4 linked regions of the Lepisosteus oculatus genome follow. The protein of the gene in region 4 interacts with the protein of the main gene of each other region in a pairwise test. Links are inferred from orthologs where the notes say so. Each region holds a gene or a part of one and is shown on either strand. Other genes may lie near its edges. The genes, in order: klhl12, SH3 and cysteine-rich domain-containing protein 2, znf276 and atxn1a.

What was found.
Region 1: the proteins of atxn1a (region 4) and klhl12 interact in binary tests that used the Homo sapiens proteins (3 or more experiments, as listed by UniProt). The link is inferred for Lepisosteus oculatus from reciprocal best matches to the Homo sapiens genes ATXN1 and KLHL12.
Region 2: the proteins of atxn1a (region 4) and SH3 and cysteine-rich domain-containing protein 2 interact in binary tests that used the Homo sapiens proteins (3 or more experiments, as listed by UniProt). The link is inferred for Lepisosteus oculatus from reciprocal best matches to the Homo sapiens genes ATXN1 and STAC2.
Region 3: the proteins of atxn1a (region 4) and znf276 interact in binary tests that used the Homo sapiens proteins (3 or more experiments, as listed by UniProt). The link is inferred for Lepisosteus oculatus from reciprocal best matches to the Homo sapiens genes ATXN1 and ZNF276.

What each region holds. Positions count from the first base shown.
Region 1 is NC_090700.1:30,399,841-30,407,291, forward strand, and holds the start of klhl12 (kelch-like protein 12), read right to left. Parts: upstream 3,021-7,451; 5' UTR 2,714-3,020; intron 1,468-2,713; 5' UTR 1,429-1,467; coding exon 1,348-1,428; intron 1-1,347. Other genes in the region: adipor1a (adiponectin receptor protein 1a), read right to left, coding at 7,219-7,347. UniProt on the Homo sapiens protein: Substrate-specific adapter of a BCR (BTB-CUL3-RBX1) E3 ubiquitin ligase complex that acts as a negative regulator of Wnt signaling pathway and ER-Golgi transport.
Region 2 is NC_090723.1:5,904,872-5,912,064, reverse strand, and holds the start of SH3 and cysteine-rich domain-containing protein 2, read right to left. Parts: upstream 3,004-7,193; 5' UTR 2,093-3,003; coding exon 2,003-2,092; intron 453-2,002; exon of another isoform or gene 1-452. UniProt on the Homo sapiens protein: Plays a redundant role in promoting the expression of calcium channel CACNA1S at the cell membrane, and thereby contributes to increased channel activity. Slows down the inactivation rate of the calcium channel CACNA1C.
Region 3 is NC_090715.1:12,649,016-12,655,950, forward strand, and holds the start of znf276 (zinc finger protein 276), read left to right. Parts: upstream 1-3,925; 5' UTR 3,926-4,250; coding exon 4,251-4,476; intron 4,477-6,014; coding exon 6,015-6,330; intron 6,331-6,935. Other genes in the region: vps9d1 (VPS9 domain-containing protein 1), read right to left, coding at 162-234, 3,383-3,631. UniProt on the Homo sapiens protein: May be involved in transcriptional regulation.
Region 4 is NC_090705.1:39,523,489-39,530,929, forward strand, and holds the start of atxn1a (ataxin-1a), read right to left. Parts: upstream 3,010-7,441; 5' UTR 2,411-3,009; intron 1-2,410. UniProt on the Homo sapiens protein: Chromatin-binding factor that repress Notch signaling in the absence of Notch intracellular domain by acting as a CBF1 corepressor. Binds to the HEY promoter and might assist, along with NCOR2, RBPJ-mediated repression. Binds RNA in vitro.

The sequences.
Region 1 (7,451 bases), on a different chromosome or scaffold from region 4:
GAAACATTAGAAAATCCTGAAAAGTACTAACAAACTGAACACAATGGATTACTGCAGGATCAACTGGGAACTAAGGATCCGGGAACAACAAAGAATATTAATGTAGAACTTTTAAAATTGTGAACATTGCTTTATACAAAAGCTATCTGGAACAAGGAATAATTATTGATAAATTACTAAATACCTGTTGCATAAGACAGCTTCCAAATGAGAGTAGGAAATTTGGTAAATATGTACATTACTTATACATCAACAGCCTGATGAAGCAGATTCTCACTTGTCAACCTGATCTGCTGTGCAGGGGGTCTCCTGGTGCAGAATGGCTTCTGTATGTCAACGAGGTGAGGGATGCACTATAACCTATGACTGAATTGCTATTATGGAAACCTTTTTAGGAACCTTTAGGGTGAACTGCACTTTTTAGCCCCATGAGTCTGGTTGGTGTACCAGTGTGAGAGCAGTGTCAGCACCCTGTAGCTCGATCTCATGAGATCTCAGAGGATAAGCAAGGTTGGGCCTGGTCTGTACTTATATCTTCAGGATAAACAGGTCATTGTTGTAAGTGGCACTTGTAGACCAGAATCTGGTACCCTTTTTTCTGGACTTCAATTTCCAAGAACAAGAACCACTAGCAGTGGCCCCGTGTCCTGGCCAAATTGCCCCCTGGCCTTTATCAATCATGGCCTCCTAATAATCCTCATCCCTGGCTTCATCACTTTGTTCTCCTCCCCACTGATAGCTGGTGTGTGGTGAGCATACTAGCGCTCTACAGCTGCTGATGCATCATCAAGGTGGTGCTACACATTGGTGGTGGAGGGGAGTTCCCTTTATCTGTATTGCATTTTGAGTGGAGTGTCCAGAAAAGCGCTATATAAGTGTATGGAATTATTATTAGTAATAGACGTAGTACACTGGCTGAAGATACTATCCTTCACAAGAGACATTAAGCTGGTCATTAACGATCCTACTGCACTTTTTGAAAAAGTAGGGTGTTGTATCAGTACCCTGGCTAAATTTCACTCTTTGATTGTACAGTGTGGCTTTGCAAAAGTTCCCCGTGAATGTAGCTAGAAGTAATTTCTCGTTTCCCACCTCATCGACTGTTTAGCAGCACCACTGACAGAGAACAGCGGCCACACTCACTCAGATGGGAACTACTCATTAATGATGGATGAAAAAACGGGGTTCCCTCCTACACGTAAAGTGCTTAGGGGACTTTTGGGATTAAAAGTGCAATATAAATGCAAGGAAATTTTATTAATACTCTTTTAAATACCACATACAGGTATATACAAATTACATAAAATAGGTTTTGAGAAAAACAGTGGCAGTGGTAAGAATTGCTACCTCGTGGAGCTGTGGCCCTGGGTTCAGCTCTGGACGTGGGGTGCTGTCTGCGTGGAATTTGTATGTTCTCCGTCTGTTCATGTGTGTTTCCTCAGGGTGCTTCCGTTTCCTCCCGGTTTCCTCCAACAGTCCAAAGACAATTAACTTGTAGGTTAATTGGCTTCTGAGAAAACTGGCCCTAATGTGAGTGTATGTCTGTTTGCCCTGTGATGGACAGGTGTCCATTCAGGGTGTAATCCTGCCTTGTGCCTGTTACAGAGATAAACTCTGGCTCCCCCACGACTTTGAAGTGGAAGAAGCCATTAGAAAACGGATGAACGGAGGAACGTTTTTCCAGAAAAGCATTCTTGCCTTAGCTGGTACTGTCAGACGTCGTGTTATCTAGGTGAATTTTTTTATTTAAATAATTTGAAAACAATCAAAAATTCCATAAGAAAATAGCCACTGGCTATCTCTAGTAACCGTTTACAGTATAAACTACAGTACATTGTTTCCAAGGAACTAATTGTAACTAAGGAAGTGCACTACTCCAGCGCATGAGCAGTACCATTGTGGACGTCCATGGCCACTGATCCTTGGTTGTCATGCCAACAAAGGTCAGGGGTCAAAAGTGATACGTCACAAAATTTCGTTCAACGAAATAAACATCGACGTCCTTGAGTTCACGAAATGAGCAGTGACAAAACACAAACGGTATTCCGCTTCGAGCGCACGACTTGAATATCAATTTGCGATATTCGTATACAAAATAAACATGTTTTTGTCTAAAAATTGAAAGTCTGTATGTCATTATATGGGTAGAGTAACACAACTGTCTTTTGTGGGTACAATGAAAGTTGTTAGTTTTTCATTTCGTGTTGTGCAAAACAAAAATCAATTATGTAATACATTTCATGTTGGGAGTGTAATACGACAAACGGCGCCCTTCAGTCCTGGGTACCCCACGACAAGTACAATCGGGCATCCGGGTCACCCTGCAGCTCACGGCCGATCGATTTCACAAAGCTTTGCTGCTAATGCTGGTCCGAAAAGCACCAGTTAACATTGCAGTTTAACTTTACAGTGTGCCAAATACGTATTGTGCACAGACCCGTATCTGACCGCACGATTTAAGAATGATTTACTAAGAGAATCCTATTCGAGCACGAGGTATCATTACGAACAGAATATGAATCCAGTGCTTACAAGATGCAAAATACTGAGGTATATTATATTTATTTTCCTAGCCGGTGGACATGTTTATAACAACCAGATCACTTCAAGGGGTCAAATGCAACAGCCCGTTATATGATTTTAGAGGTCAACAAGCTCAGATGTAATGTTATTTGAATGCAGTGTACTTTATTGCGGACAAAACGTTATTTACCAGCAGATGAGACGCTCCGGTGATTTGCACAGTTACAACCCCCAGCAAAGACGCTCCATACTCCGGCGTATCCGTCACTCCCACACCGCGGTTCTTCTCCGCGGCCCGCGTCTGTTGGGATCTTTCTAACTAAAATCAAGTGTTACCGAAACAAACGTCCAGGTTTCTAATCCTCTAAAAACAAGATAGTTTGGTTAGCTCGTAACTGTATTCAAAATCCCCACAGTCACACAGTTTTCATGATTAGCACTGTGCTATCCAGGAAGATAAAAGTCCCAGGTACCAGTTGCAAACACAACACAATGACGTCATGGTCACACACAAGGTCCACACGCCCGAGGATTCCCACGGCCGTGAACGCGCCTTCTTTTCTCTATTAAAAATGCTTAAACTGCTATTTAATGTAAAGAATCTGTGTATAAAATCACAGTTATGTTGCAGTTTACATAAATGTGTAATACATTTACGTGATAGCAGGTAATTATTTGTACGAGTATTTACATATTTAAGAATTTGTTTTGACATTATTGTTTTATTTTGGCTTTTCAATAACCCCAAAAGGCCCCCTTCCTGCCGCTTTCACAGTTCTTGTGGAGTATGGAATTAGAAATTAGCTGAAACACTAAGACAGATGTTTCAGATCATGGAAAAAAAATATTATGAGGTGACGGTTAACTGCAGTGTTTTTGTTTTCACCGGTTTATTTAAATAAAGACAGCGTGTTCATTACTGGAACAAAAAAGCAAAGGACACAGGGGTAGTTCCCAAACCGGGGCTGAGAATCACAGCTCCAGCTGCTGCTGTTAGTGGTGTTGTTGGGCCAGTAGGTGGTGTTCTTCCATCCTGACCACTGTTCAAAAACCAAGGTCCCAGTACGATTGGGATGATGATCGGGGACACCGTGCTGCAGGAGGTGCTGGTCTTCGGGTGATACATTAATCTGAGGTAACGACTTTGTTTAGTAGGGGTGTCAGTTCTGGTGTCCTGCTTACTTCTACCCTGGGCTTGTACCATGTAGCTTACCCTGTATCTTCCCTTAATTCAGTCGAAGCAGTTTCTCATTTCTCCCCCTGACCAGCTGTGCAGTGGGACTGCTGGTGCCGACCAGTGGTGCCTCTCAGGTGGGGGCTGTGCTTCAATGCTGGAGGAAGAGGGGGCCTATTTCTTTATAAAGAACTTTGGAATTCTTTAGGATGGAGAGCAATAGTAGAATGCAGCTTTGGGCTGTGTAATTATTTCAGAACCTTGTTAAGTACTTGCCATACCTACACGAGATGCCAAAAAATAAAAAGAGGCACAGCTCATCTTGCAGCAGAATCATGCTTTCCTTTCAGCAGATGAGGCTGCATTATGATTTGTAATTGTAAATCTTTGACAAGGAAAAGGATATGACGAAAACCCAATGCCCTGAGGTTGGGAGGCAGAGGCTGGGAGTTTAACATGTAAAGAGTAACAAAATAATCCATACATTTTCTAACGGCTTCTAACAATTCGGGATTGCAGGGGAGCCAGAACCTAACCTGGCATAAAACTGGTGCAAGGCAGGATATACCCTGGACAGGAAACCAGCCAATCACAGGGCACGCACAGAGACAAGTACACACACAGTCCCACCAGGGCCAATTTTCCCAGAAGCCAATGAACCTACCCGTATATTTTTTGGACTCTGGGAAGAAACTAGAGTGCCCAAAGGAAACTCACACAAACACAGAGAGAACATGCAAACTCCACACAGATAGCACCCCGGGTCCAGAATTGAGACCAGAGAACCCCATCCTAATCACTGTATCACTGTACTGCCCCTTATACATTAATCACTGATCACAACTGCTAGAGCCCAGTGTTGAACTGGTTAATCATCAAGGAGAGAAGCGAGGGGCTTCTTGGATGGGTAACAAAAGCAACAAGAGAAATGGTTTCTAACTGTAAGCTTTATTAAATATTTAATAGAACATCTTACATCTAGATATACAGGCTGTGGCTGGAAGGGAGAAATGGATGATCACAGGCCTACATGAAAGGACACGCCATGCGTGTTCAACGCAGTGTTAAAAAGTCTTTGTTAAGCACCCAGCTTTAAAGAGACTTAAAAGAGGCACACCCCTGTCTACGAGCACAGCAGCAGAACAAGCTTATCGATGGGCTTCAATGAACTCTAACTGCCAGATCAAAATGAAAAAGCCACAGATGGAAGAAAGAGAAAAATGATGTAGTCACTCAAGATCCAGGTCAAACTGATTTAGTTGCAACACATTCTGAACTGGCTGCTCCCTGACTGCTCCTGGTGTTTAAAGTGCACCAGACCTTTACAAAGTTTGTCCCTTTTTTATTTCCATTTGCTTAAGGCACAGAAAATACTAAGGGAACACACTGCATCGGGGAGAATAACTAGTTAGATTAAAATCCACCAGATGGTTTATTTTTCCCCCATCAAAGGTAACAATGTTAATAATTTGCTGACAAAGTGGGTTAAGCGACCAGGGAAGTTTATGTCTACAATTTCCACTGATGCCCACCGCACTTTAGATCTTGCAAAGTACATGCAGTGTTTCCTGGACAAAATGTATAAAGGGAACAACTCCTAGAGTACATCAAACTGGAGTCATCCCACATTCGTCTTGATCTGCACTAGTTTTGAGATGTAAAAGGTAGCAGTTCAGTATCAGTCTTCACAGTTCCAAACAGTGTTTTAACTGGGATCCTTGTATCTTAAATCAATATCTCATTCTAATGTACAGCAGTTAAAGTAAAATCATCTAAATTGTCCCGCATCTTATTCAATACGTTGCTGTGTGCGAACACAGCTGACATTGTTGCATATTAGACTGATATTGACCATTTTCACTACTCTAGCAAATACAGTTTATGAAAATGAATATCTGATGATGTGGGAGGAAATGGACAGGGGAAGAAAATTAGTGTTGCACCATACAGCCCATCGAAAAGACCTTGTGCGTTATAAGTCTGTGCAATGCCAATAAGTTACCTGCTCCATTTCCTCCCAAGCCACAATGGGGAAGTGATTTCCAGAGTATGCGTTTCGAAGAAAACCGTTAGATGCCTAAGACAGCCCAGAAAGGTACAGACAGTGTTGACTGCTTGTGTTTCCAGTCAGGTTTTTACATGATGGCGCTCAAGAAGAGCGTCAGTTAGCAGAGTTCGTCACGTTACAAATTCTGCCAAATTCGGTCTCCAGGTTCCCCGCCAAATACTCAGGTTTTGAAAAGAGGGGTACACTTCACTAATCAGTCTGTCCAATGATCATAGACAAGATCAGAGCTAATGAAGTTACAACAGAGAACCAACTGCCTCTTCGTTTTTAACCGGCCTGCAGAATTTCCATAAAAAACAAAACGGGAAATGAATGTAAAAACCCATTTCACAGACTTTTGTCAAGAACAACTTTTTAATGGCCACTGATTCCCCCCTCTCCGCTACTGATTATCTCTTGGCTGTTAGCTTGATTCACATTCCTGCCTCTTCAATTACAAGTAAAATCTAAAATCCCATTGTACCTCATTCACTACCACAGCTATGGCACTCTCCCTTTCTCATATAAAGCCTGTCTCCATTCAGCCCTACTTTTCTGCTCCAGAAGGCGATCGCCTTCTTTCTCGAATTTCCTCTGCCATCACAATCTCACACCAACAGCTTAAGAGAAGGATCTCATTAGGAATCAGCTGGACCGATACACTATAACACCTTTCTCCAGAGGAGAAAGAGTGACGATTTAAACAGACAAGAGCTCTGCAGGATTACAGCTCTCGAGGATCAACTGGGGATCTTTGAATTCATGGATTGAAGGGCGTCGTCAAAGCATTTTCGCGCCGGGATTCAGAGCTGTATGGATCTGAAAGGCAGGCTCTGTGTGAGCCTGTGGGCGGCGTTACAATACCTAGATCAAACGAACCTGAAGGACGAAGAGGCAGGAATGAACGGCCAAGACTCAAACCGACACCTGAGCCCAGGGAGTCAAGAGAGACCAGCACGTCCATAGCTGACTTGTAAAACGCTTTGTCCAGCACCTTTGCTCTCTGCCGATTTCCTTTCCGACTTGGTGTGCGCCCCACGAAGGACTCATGGAGGCCTTCTCTAAATTTTTCCTTTGGGTTCGGATCACACCGCGCCTCCCTAGCTACACCTACAGGAACGCGGCAGCCTCCAGGAATGCCTGTCGGAAGGGACGCCTCTTAGCATCGCCGAATCTCTCGATCCCTCACGGCGAGCCATGTACTTTTGTTCAGCACAGCCCCCCCCCGCCAGAAATGTATCGTTCGAAGGCTGGAGGATCCAAGCAGGAGCTCCAGGGAGAATGCCACAGGGCCCCCCCACGCTCCAGGGCCCGAGGCCGGTCAAGAAAGGATATCGGCAGGGAGAGGCTGATTCTACACGGGGTCCTGCGAGCCCCAGCGGCACTTGGGAACAGTGGGTGCAGGCTGCCGTGTGTGTGTGTGTGTGTGTGTGTGTGTGTGTGTGTGTGTGGTGGGGGGGGATGCGGTGTCCTCTCAGAGCAGCGAGTCATCGGTGCAGCCCCCTTCCAGGCCGTAGCGGAACTCCTGCAGGTTGGACACGCCGTAGAAGTGGATGAAGGCAGCCGCCACCACCAGCACGTGGAAGATCTGGTGAGACTGAAACTGAAGAAGCAGAGCGTGAGATCATGAGACACTGTGAAATCCCTCTGCTGAAGCCCTGCTTTCCAAGAGCAGAGTTTTTTTTTTGAACTTTGTATTTAATGGTG
Region 2 (7,193 bases), on a different chromosome or scaffold from region 4:
GTCTGTGCAGGTTTGCGCAGTTCAAAAGCAGCGTGTCAGGTGCTTGCGTTCCCCGGAATATAGCGCCTTGTCTGGCTCCACTACCAGATGAACAACACAGCCCCGCCCGCAGGCGCAATGACGCGCAGGAGACGAGGCTGGGCGCGCAGAGTGAATCGGTGACAGAAGAGCACGCGTGCACGCCCAGGTGTTGTAGTTTCGTGGCGATCACACAGACCCCACAGTAATTCGCGGTCATTTAACAGACCCCCATCCACACTAATCTTGGATTGTGCCGAGGCCCCATCGCTTCCGGCGCGCGTGCTGCTCGTGGTCTGCCAGCCCGGTCCATAGAGGTCAATTCAGCCGATGACCCCTCCTATGCGCTCATTCAAACAAAGAAGTCACAGCACTCCCAATGAGCTGGGGGCAGCTCAAAGATCCAGCGTAGTTCATACGTCAAGGAAGAGACCTTTCTTTGACGTCAGCGAGCTGCTGTCTGACGTCCTGTGTCGTGAGGATTAAAATATAGATGTCAAGGGAAACGGTATAAATATCTAGCCCGAGCTCGTTTATTTCAAATGACAGGCAGCTCTCCACGCTGGAGGAGAATTACTCACTGCTTCCTGAGTGTAGCGACGTTTCGAAGATACAGGCTTTAACGGAACAGAATGTCATTACCTGGGAAAGTCAGTTCAGTTATACAGTGACGCACATGGCTACAGAGGAAAACAGTATTATTCCATAACAAGGAATCGTTTCGTGAAGTTATACTGTACCTTTCGGTATAAGAACATCGTGACCCCAATACACTGACAATCGACTGAGTAGCTGTGGAATTTAACGTCAAAATATATTTATCCAACCACAGAGTAGTCTAATACTTCAGGTCTGAAAAAGACGACTGATACTATTTTCGGTTGCATGTTACAATATCTACATTGACCTGTACTGGGGAATCAGCGGTGTGTTTTACAAACCAGGACTCCCGAGAAAGACACGGGGCACACCTGAACTCCCCGGGTTCCGCCTGAATGAGCCCAGCCCACAAACCACTAGAATTTATACACAGACTTCCAAAAGACACGTTTCTCTTAATAACGCTAGAGGTCTGCGGTGCCTCTTAATACCCTGCCACGGGCGTGCAATTTAAGAGAAAATGAGAAGGCGAAAATAAAATAAAACATATTTGAGTAGAATCTCAATCAAATAGGCATGATAGTCTGTATCCCAGTGGGAGTATTCGGAAGCCTTCAGATTCATTCCTCGCCGCTGTGATCTGACAGCACGGATCACCGCCAGCGACAGTTCACCTGCCAATGTGTTACCGCGACTTCACTCCTTCGACAAGATTATCGCTCTACCTGTCTGCTAATATGTTCTAGGCACGGTATCGCCGACGGATTCCAGTTCCCGTGGAAAGACTTTAAAACCTTTACTTTAAAAGGCTTTTGCATGGACAGGACTCAGACAATATTGCATGAGCACCGTGACAGGTATGCCGGGCCACCTGAGTCCGCGAGGCACGCTCTGCTGCTTCGAAACCCGCGCTGTTCACAGACTGTTAGAACCAGAGAGGTCCACTCCAGTCAGAACAGCCCGCAACTGATGTCATCCGGGGAACGCCAGCAAAGGCGTAGATGCAGGTTTAAGTGTTAATCTCTCATTTACATTCCTATCAAGACACCCTTCTAAAACAATAATTATAGAAACCCGCTATCTGAGGTCCACTCATCAAGTTTTATTCTCCCGTTTCAAATCGGACAAATGTCATTTTACAGGACGCCATATTTACAGAGCCTATACCAAAAAAAAACAACCGACAAAAGCTGGTCACAAAGATGACTTGGATGTGTCACGACCATAAAGACAAGGGGGGTCATGCATTCTCACCGGGGTCGTGTCGCTTGTGTCATACGCCTTCTGGCGACAGTGGCCTATTATCGGGCTTCGACAGGTGATCAGAACCTGTCCGCGTCTCGCCCTGGGGGGCGGCGGCGGCGGCGGGAGGGGCAGGTCTTACCTTGGACTCGGGCTGGACCGACACGGTGCCGGGGGAGCGCTGGAGATCCCGGTTCTGGGGCTCGTTCTCCTTCTCGTTGTTCTCCGTCATCGCTCCGGGGTCCCGGCTCTCGCTGCTCGCGTCCCGGACGGTTCTGCGCCGCGCTCGCGCTGGAGGCTGGCCGGCGGCCCGGCTCGTGCCGCGCCCGCGAGCGAGTCAGTCAGGAAGCGGTATCCGGCTGAGCCTGCTGAGTGCAAGTGGGTCAAATCCTCCTTTTTATTCGCAAAGCATATTGACGATTCTCTTCGCAGGGAATGACAATACTACTGAATTACGGCTTATACCGTATTGTCTCTTTCACTTAATGTACCATTTCGTTCTGTTCAGGTTAGCGATGCTCGTATATATATATATTGTTTTTAAAAATCAATTATTTTTTCAGTTTCTTGCGCGGCAGTCACTTTTTGCAAACTGCCACACGCGTCAGCATTGCCTTTGGTGTTATGTAGCCCCCATGCATTGAAACGTACACACCGCAGAGGATAGTAACACTGGTAGCAACTCTCTTTTTCAGAAACACAAGAAAACCAAGCCGCAGTGGTCTGAATCCCAGTGAAGTGCGCCTGTCCTGCGACTCAGTCAGATCAGTGCTTTTAATTCCAGCGCTCTCAGATATACTGGCCTCGGTGGCGCTATCGACTTTGCAGTTCGCCCTTAATCTAGCCCAGGTGCTGTACTGGTGGAGCACGCCAGATCTGCAGCCTCACACGCGCCTTTGCTACAAGTTTGATTTAATAGAATGCCCGACCACGCTTCCGCGGCTCTGTGATTGGAGCGGGGTTCTCTTTGATATGCTAATATCGACCGCCGTCCGCACGGTGATTGGCCGCTGTGTGTGACGTCGCCGCGCCGGGGCGTGTCTCTGGGCACAGGTAGATGTTTTGGTACCCATTTAAGGTGGCCCCAAGAAAAGGAGACGTGCTCTGTTCTAGAAAGAATATTGTGACAGTAATAGGAGAATCACAAATAAAAAATATGACTTCCTTGTTTGTGCAAACATTCGTACGCACGGTTGATTATCATTATTGAAATTAAATGCATTTTGGCACCAATACGAACTGCAGAAACAACATACTACACTTTCAAAGTCAAAGGGCCTGGTAAGACAACGCTGATAGACAACGGGTCCTTAACCAAATGGATCTACACACACAGGAGCGCAAGAATCAAGCCAGGCAGCATTGCCGCGTGTTGCGGACTGCATCCCAGAGAATGGGAAATGAATTTCCTATCGGCGAATGATCAAATGGTTTTCAGGGGCGTGAACACCGACGTACAACCCTCATCTCGAAAACCCGCTTTAGGAGAAACTCGCACGTCATGTAAGACTCGTGATATTTAATGACCTTGCCCATTAAAAAAAAGAGAGAGAAACCGTCTTCGGCTTGATCACATTTTGTTCTCAGTGAGCTGCAGAACGGCCTTTGCCAAAGTAATAATTCCTAATGCCCACCTTTACAGCATGAAAACAGCCCTACTAGACCCGAGCGTGAACTTCACCACCTTTCCCGTGAGGAAGACCCCCAGCAGCAGCTCCAAACGTGCCTCCGGAGAGGATCTGATCGCACCCCAGGCGTTACTAGCAACGCGCCTCGCGCGCCAGCACGCCCCCCCCCCCCCCCCCCCGCGCGGAGGGGCGCTTTAATGTGCCCGATGACTCAGTCGCGCGCTAACTATAGAAACTATTGAACGAGAATTACAGGTGTGCGCACGCAAACGGCGCCTTCTGAACTGCCCAGGAACAAGTAATAGGTTTATTCCTAGTCTAACCCCCCGCTGAACTGCTCGACCAGACAGCCTCTTGACGCGCTCTTAGCAATTTTGTTTTAAGCATGGCGCGGTGCAGACAGCGGTCGGTCACTCCATACAAGCTCGTTGCCTCAGCAGGTTGTATTCGGTCCCGTGCATCTCCAGTCAAGGAGGGGGTTAGGGGCGAGGTCTTTGACAGCGCTGCTTTGATCAGCCTCTATGGGCTGTTCTCGTCTCTCTGCGCGATAGTGGGAGGAATATACCCACGATCCTGCACACTCCACGGCAGCGGACCGGACTCTGGCATAACGGAGTGACTCGACATTACCGTAAATAACCAGAGAGAAAAAATTCAACTCAATTTGTACAACAGCTTGGGAAAAGTGCTTTGGGAAAACGTTCCAGCGGGCACCCATCTCCTTCCCGAGATTCCAGCATTTTCTCCCGTGGGACTGGGAGGGAAGCACTAGTGACCCACGAAAAACGAGTGGACAACAACAGGTTTTGCGGTCGACTCTAGGTGCGCCCAGTCAAGAACAACACGCTCTCTAGCGGCTGTTCTAGAAACTAGAAGTATCGAAGCGATGGTCGCTCGTCTCGCTCCATCCTCGCGGCGTAGCAGTACAAGAGTCTGGAGTGCGTCATGTCAGCCGACGTCATTCAATTGGCGTTGACCCTTCTTTTTGCCCGTTTCGGAGTGAAAGTGCCGAGGGCCGCCGAAGACCAAACTTCGGGCCTGTGTGTAAGAACGTTCCCCCGCGGGGGAGTCATGTTAGCAGGAGACTTGAACGGACAGGAAGCGTGTGGCGGCTGTCTACTGCTCTGGAGAAGGCGAAGCAGTCTGGGTTATTACAGAAAGAGGCCATACTGCTCACCACCACGCTCGCTGTCTTCCAAGCAGAGCTATTTTTGAACACTAACTCCTGTCTTAGCTGGTGCCAGCCTTTCATATTCTCGGAGGGGGGGGGCATTGTGGTACAGGGGGGTGGTGGTAACACACATATCTCAAAGAACTAGAGCACTCCAGGCTCCGTGTGTCTCTCTGGAGGGGGGCAGCGTGAGGGGGGGACACTGTGTGGCTCTCAGGTATGCTGGGACTGGGGGTGCCGGAGGGCTCGCTCGCAGGGCGGCTGGGGCAGAGCCGGTAGTGGCCAGGTGTGGGCGCACGGCGTGTCTCCTGGGGACATGCAGGACCACCGCCGCCTCCTCCAGCACGGGCTGGTGGAATGGCGCAGTTTCTAATTAAAGCCCCTGTCATGTGTGTGCGTGTGCTCTGTGTAGCACTGTCGAGATACAACAGCACACAGAAACGCGTGGGATTAGACAGCCAGCCCGGCAAAGCAGCAACAAAGCCTTTGAAATATATCATCCTCTTCCCCTCAAATTAGCATAACACCCTTCTCTGAAGCCCCTTATCAGTCCGCTGTGCAACCACAGTCTCTCTCCTCCAGCGCTGCTCGTTTATTTACAGAGGAAAAGCCATCACAACCAGCGGCGTGCCAACACACACAGCAAAGGCTCACTCCAGGTCACCTGAATGTTTAACAGAAGCGTTTTAATGAGAAGTCCTTGATCTGCGTCTGTGCACGTATGCACACAGATGCCTATTTTGCAGTGACGTCTGCCACTGTTTCATCTCGGGCTTTTCAGAGATCACAGTGTCGCTGCTGAAGGATTTAATGGACACAAGGTCATTCTGAATTGTGTGCTTTCTTGTGCATTGAATTCTAAAGCATCACCCTGATTTAAAAAAAATCTCTCTAAAATTGCAAACAGATGTCTTCACCCCAAAACTACACATCCTTATTACCTGTACAGCGCTTTGAGTGGAGTGTCCAGAAAAGCGCTATATAAGTGTAAGCAATTATTATTAATGTCTGCAAATGATGGTGACATTTTCCAGAGTAGCCCAATATCTCCCTATGATGGTCCATGAAGGTGTTGACTCATCCCTGAGACAAAGTTCACTTACACTATCTTAATATATCAGGGGTGGGCTCTCCTGGTGCTGGAGGGCCAGTCTGTCTGCAGGATTTCTAGGTCTTTTCAAAGCAGCTGATGAACTGGAAGAAGCAGTTAAACTGGATAAACTAATAATGAGCTGATTTAGGAGCTGGGATGGACACCTGCCCTCCAGCACCAGGAATGCTCATCCCTGTACTATGAGGTAAACTCAATTTAGCCAGTTTTCTTCTATCTCAAGTATTCGCGGGTTGCACAATGACTTGAGACATAGAATAAAAGCATCCATACTTTTATGCAATACCAAGCTTCAAAGGATCTGCTGAGAATCATGTTTCAAAATAAGCAACAAAAGTAAAAGACAATATTCATCTCTGCTGCTGGTAGCAGTTGATGCCTCTAAAAGTACCCTCCGCCTTCATTTTGTGGGGTGTGGGATTGGGTAAAGGAATCATATGAAACTCCTGAATTGCAAAACATCACAGTGCATTACATATTTTTTGAAGACTATCGAGTATCTAAAAAATAAAGAGCAAAACACAGACATCTGCATTTCATCTGCTTCCTGAGTTCTGCAAATGTGAAGTACTGCAACCCCCTGCAAAGACCAGCTCACACCCTCTTCGCTCATTGCAAACACTGAGACATTTACATGCAAATGAGCATGCAAAGAATAGGGGAGCGCCTCGATACAGCACTGATTCGGGTGCAGACGTGAGACGCATACCGTCGACCGTCTCCTCCAAAGTGTGATGAAACGAAATGATTGTGCATAAAACTGGGCCAGCGTGCTAGCAGACAAATAAGAGTGAAGAAAGAGGAGCGCGTGTTCATAACACCGCTGAAGCTGTCCCTTGTATTCAAATCAAAGAGCGCTGTGTTGCTATTTATACATGAATGTCAGCATAAATTGCATTCATCAATTATCACTGACTGTGTTGTTATGCTTGCTGTCTATTACATTTAATGCATCCTTCTTTCAAGGGACATTTTACTGAGCTTACTTACTCAGCTAATAAACCAAATATCATCCATCCTGCCATTATCTGGAGACTGCTGATGAGGATAGCAGCAACCCAGAGCCTGTTCTGGGAGCACATAGGATCAGATGGAGTTAGCACTGCTGCCTCACAGGGCTGGGTCCCTGGGTCCAGTTCCAGACCTGGGGTGCTGTCTGGGTGGAGTTTGTATGTTTTCTCCATATTCATGTCACACAGTCCAAAAACATACTGGCAGCTTAACTGGCATTTTGGGGTAATTGGGCCTGGTGTGAGTGTGAATCTGTGTGTGTCCTGCCCTGTGCCTGTTGCTTGCCAGCTCTGGCTCTCCAACGGCCCTGAAGTGGATGGAATAAATGAGTGGATGGAGGTGCAGGACTCATCCTTGATGTTGTAAAAAGGAGACGGGAAAAGAGAAGACAAAGGAAAAGAATGAGTTTTAA
Region 3 (6,935 bases), on a different chromosome or scaffold from region 4:
TTGATCATTACTTATCACTTTTTCTTGAACATTAACTAAGTTCTGATATAGGCTTATGATCTAATTTCATTCCTTTAATCAAGAATCATAGCTTTCACAATTATTTCAATTGCCATTTCATGGACTTTGAAGTGTCATGTAGCAAAAACAAAGCTTCTTACGTTTCGGCACGGCCTCCTCCAGAAGTGCCTGGGAAATGTAGTTAATGCTCTTCAGGTATTCACAGTAAGCCTCCTGGGGACAAAACAAAGCAGAAACGTGAGCGGTCTTCTTTCAAAGCTCTGTCAGCCTTAAGTACGGATTTGAATTTTAGACTTTTTTCATTATGGAAAGCAGACTGTGGCTTCCAACACTTGAGGGCGCACGGCTCACAGAGCCAAAATGTTGAATGGAGTTTCATGTTCACAGCACAATTTGAAAACTAAGCAGTAACAGACACTATTCTCTAATTGCCATGGGGCTGTGTAGATGTATTAAATGTGAGAAGCATCTATAGGAGGGTTACCAGGGATTTGATTATAATTTTGCTACACATTGGTGGCACTGGAGGGGAGTCTCCATTCTGGAGTGTCCAGAAAAGAGCTATATAACTGTAAGCAATTATTATTATAATGTCCACCACAGGCGAATGGACCTTCTTCTCTCTTGATGTCTTACACTTGATGTCTTACACACAGAGGTCTGAATTGGGTGGGGGAGAGACACCCTGTGGGAGGGCTCCCACCCCTGGACAAGATGATCGCAAAATAAATTATTTTTACAAAGCAATTAAATATTTAAAAGAAAGAAAACAAAGCTGCCTACTGGCTTAACAACCGTGCTTTAGCCAGACACCAAAATCTTCATCTCTGTGGCTTGTGGTTTGCGGGGAATTTCCGTGCTTGCAGTTTCAGTCGCACTAGCCTTCCAATCGATGCGATCTCTGACATGCTCAACAGCAGCAGTTACAAAAGTGTGACTGAGAAGCTTCCGAGGAAAGCACACCGGGCCTGCCTCCCTTCTGTTCCCATCAGAGTCCCCCAGAGGTAAAGGCCAGCTGATTCACACAGGACAATACCCAGATTCTAAACTGAAATTTGCAGTTTCCAGAAAAATAACAATAGTAAGAAATGTTTTCTTGTGGACAAACAAAAATAACCCCACAGCACTTATAAACATCACGGAAGGGTGGAAGGGTGGAAGGGAGGTGTCTAACAGCTGTCTTCTGAGTTCAGCAAATTTCTCAGGGGACATTTTCCATCCCACCTTCAGAACAACTCCACTGAGTTTAATTCTCCATTGATCAGGTTCTCAGCTGATGATTTACTAGCTCATTTGAAAAAGAGATCTTGATAGCAGCCAACTTTTTTTAGGAACCTCAAATTTAAATGAATAATCAGAAAAATAAAGTAAGCAACACTATAGCGGCCTTTGAGTAACTGGAACTTTGTGTGCATACGCTGTTAAACCCGAAACCACTTGCTATATTTGTACAGTATAAGAATATTTTCCCAGTACGAAACCAAAAAAGTCAGAAACAACCAAATAAAGATATAAAATCAGTCCAAAGGGTAACTTATATAACTTCTTAATTAAGTCACAATTTTGGGTAACTTGGTCCTCTCATCAGTCATATCAGTACATTTGACAGCACAACTCGCATATGCAAGGGCATGTGCCTGTAAATATGGCCAGAATATTTAAAAACATATTTTAAAAGCAAAGAATGTTATGTAAAACATGGGCGGAGTGGTGGCTCTGTGGCTAAGGATCTGCGCCTGTGGCTGGAAGGTTGCCGGTTCAAATCCTGTGGCCGGCAGAGGAATCCTACTCCATTGGGCCCCTGAGCAAGGCCCTTAACCCCAACTGCTCCAGGGGCGCTGTACAATGGCTGACCCTGCGCTCTGACCCCAGGCTCTCTCCCTGTCTGTGTGTCTCATGGAGAGCAAGCTGGGGTATGCGAAAAGATAATTCCTAATGCAAGAAATTGTAAAGGGTTAATAAAATAATGTGAATGTTAATGTTAATTAAAGCATCACACTAGGTAACCAAATAAGCAAGGCAGGCCGAACTGACCTTACCTTGATGAAGTAGTAATACTAGTTTCTGAATATTATCAAAGTATTTCACATGACAGAAATAAACATTAAAAACAGGCAGTAAAGGCTACACAAGCAGGGGTCATAGCAATCTATTTAAAAAAACAAATACCAAGAACGGTAGTTATATACTTATTTTGAATAATAGAATACAAAGTATTATTTTTTCATTGAGGTTATTTAAGATGATAATACAATTTAAAAAATTGCACCTATTATTTAAAAGGAGGCATCTTTTTATCTGTATATCCAGCATATGCTTTGGAAGAAACTAGGGACGAGCAAATGAGGCCGACGCATATACAGTACAGCAGATAGCAGCGTTGTGTATGTGGGGGGTTGTACACGATAGGGGGCGCTCACAGTGCATTTGCAACCGTGAAGATTCGTCTCCTCCGGCTGGCACCCGCAATTCAAGCATCAAAGTGCATTCGTCCTGAACATGAAGGACGCCTGCAACCTATCACAACATTTAGATTTGTGAGGAAGGGAAGTGTAAGTATGCTGCAACACTAACGAGATACTGTAAAGCGCTGATCAAAATTACCTTACTGATATGCGTCCATAATATTTTTTTAAACTGGAAAACACTATGATCTGTTACAGTCCAATTAAAAACATACAACAGCATAGCCTGAAGCTGGAAACACGGTGATTGCATTGTAAAGTTTTAACTGTGGTCTAATCTGTGGAGCTTGAAAGGCGAAACAAACCCCCCCAAAAAACTCAATGAGTTAAACGTAAAGTCAAAACTAACGGACCCCTGTAGTGTTGACAGTCTCTACCTTGAAACGCTCAGAAACATCGACACCCCTCACCCAATGAAACAGCACTATTCACAAATTCAAATTCCTTTAGTTAATAAATACAGCGCATCACATCAATAACTACAGATATACTGATGATACTATATCGACGTGTATCGAACACCATTTCACCCCAACGAGTCGCCGGAAAGACTCCAGCTGAATAAACAGATTGCAGTCGGACAGGAGGTGCCATAATACAGTAAATGGGAATGCGTGTTTCAAACCAGAAATGTGACATAAACTGAAAAAAACTGATAATCGAAAAGGCGCATGAACACATTTCTGTCCGTATGAAGGGAAACGTGAATTGCAGGCTCATTAAATTTCAGAAAAACGCCTTTTATCGCTCGGCTGGGGTACGACTGCTTCATGACGACATGTAAACAGTGGGGTAGCGGAGTCAACATTGTGTCCCGTTACTGGATTTTAACAGACAATCCAAGGGGTGTCACTCGTTCTTTCTCGCGTCTTTGATAAAATATGTGTACGTTTTACCTTTTGTCTGTTCCCCGCGTCCAGTTCTATAGCGACATTGGCTAATTTCATGGCATTCTGGAGGGGTTTCAAGACCCCGTCCGACGCAGCGGCGGCCATCGCGGAACCAAAGATCTCGCGATGGTTCCTCAGCAACCACCGGAAGTTGGTCGGACAGAATTTCATACAACACCCACCACCGCTGGTGCGTGTGAGACTGCACGGAACGTCAGATGGGTGTATTTTTTCACCTACATTTGCATATCTCATTTATTCAACGGGACAGTTTTCTTCTAAAACTTTAGTAGCATTAGCCTTGTCAATCTTTTTTTTTTTCCTGGCTGATGATGGCACCTTTCCGGGCATTGCTCCTCTTGTTAGGGAGCGTCAAGTCCCTGATCTGATTTGAAGTCAGTTGTCACCGTTTCCACTGCGTGACAGTACTGACTTCACACTAGCGGACCCGAGGTGGCTCTCTTTCGTGTTGGTGCTGGGTCTGGGATGCGATGGGAAGAAGTCTCAGCAGCCCCGTGTTCCTGCGGTACTGCCACACGGCCGGTAGGGGCGCTGTGCCGATCTGCGGCCGAGTCGCTTCTCATGGTCGCTCTTGAGTCTCTCCCCACTTTCGCCACTTCCGCTCCCACTTGTTTACTTTCGGCTCTGGGCTTTTTTTTTATGAGTTCTTTTTTTAAAAACAAAAACCGACCAGATATTAAAATTACGTTACATATAGGCCGTGCAATATTACAAAACACGCCCATGCTTTTATAACCGGCGGGAGGGGGTGGGTATTTGATTTGGAAACAAGAATCTGCTTCCACATTTCGCATCCATGTAATTACAATAAGAGAGAGTTTTAGCGTTCTTGGCAGTGGTGGGGAGAGTGGGCATGAAGCGAGACCGGCGCGGTCGTCTGGCTGCCCCGGCGCTGCAGACACGGTTAGGACAGCAGGCTGCGGGGAGCAGGCGGGGGAGACCGAGGTCTGCAGCCAGGAGGAATGTGTCCGGGGACCGGAGCGAGGGCAGCAGCAGCGGCCGGGAAGAAGGCGGCGGGCTGGGACTCGCCTCGTTAGATGTCGGAGGAGGGGGTGCTGAAGGCGGACCGGAGCAGCCGGGTTAGTGTGTCAGTACCTTCACTGCTTGCGGTGTTTTTTAAACACTCCTTGTGTCCGCGCCAGCAGGAGTGTGCACGGCGGGCGCCCGGTGCCGGGGTGCCCTTGAGCGCTGTGCTCACATGGCAGCCCCCGCTGTCAGTTCGCTCCTCTTGTGAAGGGCTGCCGCCTGCTCCCTCTCAGAGGTAGATTTTGAAAGCGATTTCTCCTACAAGGAGTTCCCCAGGCCCCGTCAACTAAAGTTTGTGCCAGCACCCCGAGGACCCCCGATCAAGTGGACGTGCCTGGCACGGATGTTATTTGCTTAGGGGGTTGCACTTAACAGTTTTAATGGGGCAGGACTTTCATTTGCAGCGCAAGTTACAGTGTCGGGCAGTTGTTTCCAAAGATCGTTAAACTTTACCTGCAGTCAGCTTTTTGTACTTGTTTTCTGAACTTTCTCTAAGGCAATAAATCGCTGCGTGGTACAACGATCAAAGCTAAATACAGAATTCTAAATGAGGTCTTGTTAATGTATTGTAAGACTTGAACACAACTTCTCTTGACTTGAATTACAGGACTTTTGCTCTATACTGTCCTTTTTGCTTTTTGTTGCTTCCCTGCCTGGCATTGATAAGAACATACAATAATCTACGTAGTCATTGGGGCAGAGTGGTGGCTTTGTGGCTAAGGATCTGCGCCTGTGGCTGGAAGGTTGCCAGTTCATATCCCACTCCGTTGGGCCCCTGAGCAAGGCCCTTAATCCCAGCTGCTCTCAGGGCGCTATACAATGGCTGACCCTGCGCTCTGAACCCCAGCTTCTCTCCCCGTCTGTGTATCTGTGTCTCATAGATAGCAAGCAATGCAAAAAGACGAATTCCTAATGCAAGAAACTGTATGTGGCCAATAAAGTGATGTTATGTTATGTTATGTTTTATAGACACCTTTTATGTGTGTCCTTCTGCAGTTTAGACGCGGTCTTGTAATATGTGTCTGTTCCTTCTTCACATATTACAAAGTGGATCACTTTGCACACATTTGCCAAACGTCTGTCCAGTCTGTGATTTGGGTTGAGCCTTTTGCTAATTCTTTGGCTATCGTTTCTGTTCGTCACAACCCGTCTTTTTGTATCGCCTGCAAATTTCACTAGTTTTCCATTTGTACCAGAATTTAAATTGTTGGTGTAGCTGATATGGATTAGAATTCTATACATATGGGCCCAAGATGAGTCTCTGTGGTACACCGCTGCTTCTGTCTGCCCAGCTGGAGGCTAAGCCCCTTAAGGTTCTGCTGTAAATGCTGGGTGGGGTTTGTAATGAGCCTCAACCGTGGACCTGTTTTTGGATGTCGGTCCTCGTCATCGTGTTGTATGGAATGCAAGCAGAGATGCTTCTGCTGAGCGAAGAGTGTTATGTTCTAAATGGCTTCTCGTTTGTGCATCGAAACAGATAAGCATAAACGCCGTTGATTTAAATTGCAGTGCAGGTGTAGATCATAGGACTGAATTAAAATTGGGGTGGGAGCAGCCTAATGACCGTCTGTTGTTCTCTTTGGCCCTGCAGGCTCAGGGAGGCTCACCACGGCGTTCTGCCGCCTGTGCCACGGCAAGTTCTCGTCGCGCAGCCTCCGGCACGCCTTCGCCAAGCTCCCGGCCGAGCTGGGGCGGCCCCCCGGCGCCGAGAGGAAGCACCGCGGCCCGCAGCTCTTCTTTGCCGATTTCCAGAGGCTGGTGGGCGTGCCGGTCCACCGGGACCCCCTGCTGTCCCAGTTCGTCTGCAAGAACTGCCACAGCCAGTTCTACAAGTGTCACAGCATTCTGCGCACCTTTGTGCAGCGGGTCAACCTCTCCCCCTCCTCCAGAGACAAGCCCCGGGGCAGGTGAGGGAGCAGGAGGTGTCTTCCTGGTGCAGCTGGTACTACCACATGGCACAGAGAGATAGATCCAGGCGGCGTGCCGCGCCAGCTCACCCTTGATCTCACCCGTGCATTCATTTGGCAGCGAATCTCCGTTTGAATCCATGTTTCGTAAACCTTTGGGTGGAAGGCCGCCATGGATGTTGTTTAAAATTACAGCTTAAAACTCTTCTACCAAAACATTCCACAACTGCAGTGTATTAAAACAGAGTGGGTCTGAAAGTTAATCTGATAGAGGCACTTGAATGTACTAACAGAGAAACAAGTTGCAACCGGTATTGGAGAGAAAAAAAAAATCGTTAGGACTAAGCCGTCCTGTATGTAGTTTTTTAATATTTTACCTTGAAGTGACGTTTTATTGCCAGTATACTTTTACAAAACCCACATTCAGTCCTAAATGTGTTATTGTGAGAGCAGAATTGGGAAGAAAACTGAAATTAAACAGATTGTGATTCTAAAGTAAAATGGTTTTCTACCTCGAAAGCATGTTTCAGTTCGATGGATACATTTTCAAAATGACAGACGTTACTGCATAATTTAAAGAGGATTTGTTTATCGATTTCACTGTT
Region 4 (7,441 bases):
GGCCCTGGGCTTGTAACTGCAAGGTTGTGGGTCCGAGTTCTGACAGCAGTTCCTCTGGTGTACTCCTGAATAATGTGCATGCATTGTTTCAGGAACTTCAACACTAGATAAATTCCTTAGCCTTCAAGAAATGTGTTAGATGCTAGCTTATACCACAGCTTTGTCCCCTTGACAAAAAAGAACGTTTCACTTTATAAAACTGTGCAATAACCCATGCAGAAAAATGTCTTTACCCTTAGAAAACCTTTCTCCTTGATTCCATATTTTACAAATACAAAAACCTCATCCGCAATTTCTCAATCCGTGCAGTGATGCCCAACTGTGATATAAACTAAATGCTGTAAAGGTTAATCAGAAGAACGTTATTTTTTAATCTGATCGAAGAATAATTCTCTTAATTTAAACGTAATTGGAATTATCTGCAGCAGCAGTGGCCTTATAGTAACAGTGTTGTAATCACAAAACTAAACCTCAAGCGGTTAACTAAAGAAATTGGCGGCAAGCGAAGATTACTATGCAGTGCCCGTGAAACTGGAGAACATAGCCCGGCACAAGGCAAACACACCTGAATGGGTGAATAAATACTGTCTGTTGCCATAGCAGCCCGATCTAATTGCTTGATTGATCACGGCTGAAGTAAGAGCGCCGCCAGTCTGCACTGTGGACTGGAAATCTCCATGCCGCTGAAGCAAAGCTCCGGTGAGGCCATCAGCCTCGGTCTACAACAGTCCTCTCTAATACTCTCCTTCCATTCAGTGCAGAGCGCGGCTGGCAATGTTTCACTATGGGGGAAGTTTAATTTGCTCCTGATAAAAGCATCGGAAGAGCTCACTGTCAGTCACAGCCAGAGCTAGGATACCGAGAGCCCTGTGCCTCTTTTTTTCCCCCCCACACACGTACTGTATATCCCAGTTCTGCAGACATTATTTTCACCTTTTCAAAGATCTCAACGTCGAACAAGAGCTGCCCGCCTAAAAATGTAGACGGACCTCAACTTTGCGACTTCACAAACCTCCACCAGTGCTGGTAACGTCGAAGCAGTACAATAGCGTCACGAAAACAAACTTGCGAATGCAGACAGTTCGTGTTAATGTCAGATTGTGAATACACCGAGATGCCAGGGAGGAGAACCTGCCTCGTTAGTCTACTACAAAATATATATCGCAGCACGGCGATAAATTGGTGGTTTTTCTCGGTCTCCCCCCTCTCTAAAGACCAACGCTAAGGCAAGTAGCGTGCAAATCCGCAAGTACCCGAGCAGAAGTTGCAAAAGCACATCGGTTTAAAAGGATTCCCTAATGCACACAGCCTTTCGTTACTGTAAACAAAGTATAAATAGCCTGCAAACGCTGAGATCCCAGCAGCCTATTATATAACAATATAGCTAGCTGGGTTACATGACATCACGGGCAAGACTTAACAACCACTAGCCGTAAGGAACGGGGGAAAAAATGTCCATTTAAACCGAATTAATTTATGTTTGGGTGTATTTAAGAAACGTCATAGTGAATCGGCATGTATTTTCTAAATATGTGTATGTTTGTTTTCTTTAATGTTACACTTACTATAACCTCGATACAAAAGGCATAGTGGTGTTAAACTAATATACATTTCTGGGCATGGGCCAAATAATATAACGCATAAGACTACCCTTAAGAAAAAATCGTAATGCAGGGATGATGAAGCTCATAATTGTGGACTGTTTTTCTTTAGAAGCAGCTACTGTAACATTTCTAGGTAACAGGGTTATTAAAAAGAGTTACATTTCTTTCAACCCAGAAGAGTGTTGCATTTACGCAACGCACCCACACGCCTGTCCTTGGAAAGAGCTGCCCAGCAATAATAAAAAAAAAACCCCGCTTCATAAAACTAGAAACAACACGCTTATCTCGTGGATTACTGTACTACTACACACACACACACTATGGACACATCGATTAGGAAGTGCTTTCTGTAATGCGTCCTGAGCCCGCTAGAGGAAGTGGAGTGACGCAGCGAGACGCGAGAGTTGGTCCGACAGCAGCCCCAGCTCAGTGCGCTTCTCCTCGGCTACCGCGCCTCGCAACATCCGCCGCACCGCCGCCTGGTGCGCAGCGCAGCGCAGCGAACGGGCGCACGCCTCGCAGTGCACGTCCAAGGACGCCCGGGGCGAAATTTTTCCCAGACCCTTTCCTCTGCGTAAGAAGTTATACCTCCTTTCTGGTGGTGGTGGTGGTGGTGGTGTTGGTGTTTTTTTTTAAGAAGGTGGGGGGGGGGAGAGAGAGAGAAAACAACGCCAACTGTGATCCATCGCGTCTCCCTTCCTAGTTCCTCAGAGCCATTTTCCTCACTTCTTTGGGGAGGAGAAGCGGCGACGGAGCCGGGGGCTCCCGAGGCAAGACATCACGCTAAATAAATCGCCGGGACTTACTGTACGGTGTAATGGTCTGAGGAGGGCAATGCCTTTCCTTGTTGCCAGGGCTGTTTTCCTGCAGTGACGGCGGGTCCGTCTCCTCTCCACTACTAGAAGGATGTCTGCAGCAAAGCGAGGCTAGCTCTCTCTGTGTCGCTCGCTGTTCCCACCTCTCTCTCTCGCTCGCTCGCTCTGTGAATGTGTAATAGAAGCCAAATATGGAGCAGTTGGCCGCCTCTGCAATAGCTCCAGGATCCTTCACTATGCGAGGAGGGGATGGAGGCGAAGCCGCTCTCTGGCACGAAGCCAGGAGTCGCGGATTAAGGCATACCCACACCACACGGAGTTACGGAGAGCTTTAACTCCTTCGCCGCCGGACGTTTTTGTCGTGTTGTTCCCCCCCACCACGTTTTGTTTTCTGTGGACAGCTGTGGTTTCTCACAGTTTCGTAGACGCCAAGATGAAGTTTACGGTCTCGTTCGGGGAAAGCGGTCGTGGTGCATGCAGGTGGTGTTAGCTTTTATCCCGAGCGAAGCCCTGGCACCTTAGTGCAGTCGAACAGGAGCTGCTGGCTTGCCCGGGATTTCAACTCGCTACCTTCTAGTAAGGCGCCCAGAAGCCCAGAAACCACACTGCTACAGTACTTCATTCAACGCTGTGATCTGCATGAAGTCACAATATGTATTAACTCCTAACCAAGTGACTCCTTTCAGCGCATGAAAAAAGTAACATTGAAATGTGACAAGTCACGCCTAACTAGGTGCTGCGTAGACAAATGCCATCGGTTAAAAAAGGTGGTTAGTCAAGGATACTATGTTCATGATAAACATCATTACAGCCAGATTATTTTTCTTCTAAAATACATCGAGCGCATAGGTTTTGTTTGCACTCCAAACATAAAGATAGCTTTAAAACATTTTCTTCTCCTGGCTAAATTACAAAAGAAGAACATGTTTATATGTTGTGTATATGTTTGTTTTCGTTCTACTGTGTCAATATTTCCGGATTTTCATAACTGACCGATTCCAAATTGTTAGTCTTTAAAAGAAACAACAAACAAACACCAGCCATCAGGTGAGCAGTCTATTGTGTCGAAAAAGCAAAACGGACAATTGAAAATCCTGATTGTGACAATAAAATCATATATTTAATTTCTAAATAACACTTGAGCAAAGCTATGCTTTGGGTCATAATCTTAAAGTTACAGTGTCTCTAACTGTAAAATTTTAAAAAGTAAAATTGCACATTTTTCTTGTGGCCTGTGGCTAAGAGCTGTTCTTGGAAAATACATTGGTCCACAGGCACCTCCAAAACTGCTGTACTGTTCAAGTCAAACAATATGTCTGACTGGTATTTTTAATTCCATGAATCAATTTTCAAGCCATATGAGAAGAAAGGGACATGGGACTGAGATCTATTACCTTAGACCCTGAAAAAGAGTTTCCTTCAAGAACAATACTGTTGAAAACTGACTCCAGTGTCCAGCAGGCCCACACTTGAGTAGAAGAAAAGTCAGAAACCAAATTTCCCCCAAAGGCAGATCACTCTTAACAGTTGACCATCCTCAAGTTCAATGCTAACATCTACGATAGCAGCATCTTCCAGTAAAACCGCCTATGAAACGCCTGTGAACTGATTAAATACACAGCCAACCTGGGGAAGAGCTGTTGTCAGGATTTACATCATTAATATACTGTAGGTAGAAAAATAAAAGCTGGCCCCTACTCTATTGCAAAGTTGTATGACATTTCAGCTGCAGGTTCAGGTATCTTTGCTGTCGGATTTCACATACACTTTTTACTGAAAGGAGTTTGGAGTTTTTATCTGACTTAATTAATGTAACCCTTTAGCTGAAGGTTTGACTGTTTAAATGTTTTTAACTGCTTTCAGCACTTAAAATTTACCCAGCACTGCTGTCTGAGGTTTCTCTATTGGTCTTTTTTTATGATGGATTCTCAGTTGAATCCTCATTTTAATTTTGATAAAGCAGCCATTGTAAATTAGTCAAGAAAGTCATTAATCGGGACTGTGATGTGTAAGCTTTGCTGGTCCTTCAGGGTCTCCAGCCTTGTTCTTGGAGAGTTGCTACCCATCCAGTCTTACATGTCAGCATGGCATCGACATGGGACGTAACTGATGACTGAAAAGATGGAATCTGCTCAATTTAGAAATCATTTGGAAACAAAAAAACTCAGTCCTTGAGGACTAGAGTCCCTTTAGACAAATGCCCTGCTCAATAGATCAATAATGTACTGGAAAGTGTTGTTCATCTTTTTAGATCCTGGTGATATCTCCAGAATCTAGTTTTCAGAACCCCCTTTTTTCTGTGGGGGTTTCTATTAACTGAACGGGCCTCTGGAATTTAAGTCACTGAGATCAAGTGACACTAAAGCCCAATTATATTCAAAAGTTAAAATCTCAAACCCATCACCACTAACCAACCAGAATATCTAACGGCAAGTTCCCTGTTAGAGGAAATACAGTAGGAGCTCCTGTGGCACAATATCAAGTAGAGTTTTTATTTGGGACTGACAAGTGAGTTCAATTTATTTTAAATTCTGGCCTAAATTAATGTTTGCCATGGGAATTCATGGTACTACACAATTCCCTTATGTCACTAAAATCACTGCTTAGATGTTTAGTGAGGTGAAGAAGAAGAGCAGTTTCTGGAAAATGTTGTGCACATGATGCTTGCTAAATATCTTGACAACTAGCAGGGTATTTCTGAAACACATGACTGAGTGCAGAAAATAGCCCAAACAGGGTCTAGATCTAATTAAGAAACTGTTCAGTTAAGGAATCAATTAGTCAAAGTAATTAAAAGCTCAGCTACTACATAAACTAAGAGATACAGTATCCTGGGGACTGGGGTTTGCTAAAGAGCTTGCTGGAAAAATAGTTTTTTTCTGTTTTACTGTCTTACAGTATGAATAGTTTTTTTTACGGTATAGAGTACTTACTCTATGAAGTGGCTTCATTACTCTGCTCTCCTTCCCACTGATGTGTGGTGAGCGTTCTGGCGCACTATGTCTGCCGTCGCATCATCCAGGTGGGGCTGCACTGGTGGTGGTGGATCATACCCATATTATGATAAGTAGCTTTGACATTTGTCCCGGCTCATTTCAAAGTGAAGTGAGGACTAGCACTGTCAGCATCTCCCAAGAGAGGTACAGTAGTTAGACTCTTGCCCACTATAGGGAATCGTCATTTCAAGTCCTGAGCAGCTGTATATTAGACAATGAAAGGCACACAGAAAGCCAGCATTCATTTTCCAATTTCACAGCTCGGCTTCTACTGATATTGAACAAATAATATTAACGGTATGCTGTAGATACAGAGATCGCTGATCACAGACAGTAGTCCTAAATAACAGTTTCTTTAAAACAGCAAAATACTACGGATTGTCTGGAGCTTGTATATTTACAATAAAGCCTTACATTTCAAGAGGCAAGAGGAGATGCATTATTTCACCTACTTGCATCACATGTTTCTAGAAAACAAAATGCAACTTGAAAAGGTTATTTTGATTGTGTAATCCCACTTTACAGAAGTGGCTACAAATGGATATTGAACTGAATATTAGAAGAATACGAATTGAATACATTCTGTACTCTGACTCCTGATGTTGATGACTTCTATCAAAGAGTCAGGGTTAGAATTAGGGGCAGGGTCTTTCAAATGTGATAAGCTTTGGGCCTGAGAGAATACACATAAGACATTCTAGCATTGTTGCTTTGGTAGGGAACCAGAATTCCTTAATATTCTGTTACCATCAAGTATTTCCTAAACAGTGATGTTGCTGACAAATTTCTGTCAATCAAATACATCAGAAATTAGGTACTTGCATGGCAAGCCTCACAATCTTTGAAATCGTGACCTTAAATAGTCCCCAGTTCATCTTTCTGAAGAACAACATTACGCATACTAATGACATTAACACCACAACCATCCGTGATTTCATCATATGTGTGTAATTTCCTTAAGAATTTCTCCTTTCTCAATCAACAAAAAGAGGATGATAAATTATTTACTGTACAACACAGAAAGTATGAGAACAAAGATTTTTCTTAAAGCAAACACAGCCAGGATACGTTTCATTTAATAGGGGCTTCATCTATACAGATGGCAGGAATTGGGGGTCAGTTCTAACAACTAGCAGTGTTTCAAAAGGTTCGCCTGTTACATATGGAATTCTGTGTAAAAGCAAGGTAGTTCCCTTCTAGAATACAAGGTTGTTTTTGCTTGTCATCTAGCCTAATTAAATTTGGCAGTTCTTGTAATAAATATAGCATCTTAAGAATCAAGGCTTCACATAACACTAAGGTACAACGTGAAACTGATAAAAGTGGGTTCTCATAAAGAGACAGCTGATTTAAATGATTTAACGATTTCATATCACGAAGTACTGAAACATCCTTGATAATGACCACATCCTCAAATTTTCAGTCAGGAAAATACTGCAAGGAGAGTGATGTTATGACAGCCATGTTTTATTTCACTGTTTTGTGGGAAAGAAGAAAAAATACTACAGGAAACTGAAGAACTACCATGAAGTGAGACGTTGTCAATTCCAAACAACGCTCACTATCTGCAGAGCGAATGTGCTTTTTTAAAGCTGCACTGTAGCTGGAGAAAATCTCTCACATTTTGTTATACAGTATATTCAGAGACACCCCTTTACCCAGGACAGTACATACTGGCAGTAATGGTGGTCTATGAACGTACATCGGTTTTCTTTTTCTTTTCAGAGCCTATAAAAAACAACACTTGGAGCTGCAGCCAGATGTAGTCTTAGGCTCCTGTTTTATGGTTCCTCTGCGGAATCTTCCCCTTCCATTCTGAGCCATGCCAAGAATCTAAGGAAAGGATACAATTTTAGTCATAACTTCCTTGTTTTGGTCTTTATGCAAAAAAACTTTTTTTTTTAATGAAAGTTCCGAAGAGCTGAAAGTGGTGTGGTCATCAATTTACACAATTGTAGTACTGAAGAGGAACATTTAAAAGGATGGTCTGTACTGTTACTTTACATTACTGCACATTACTATATAC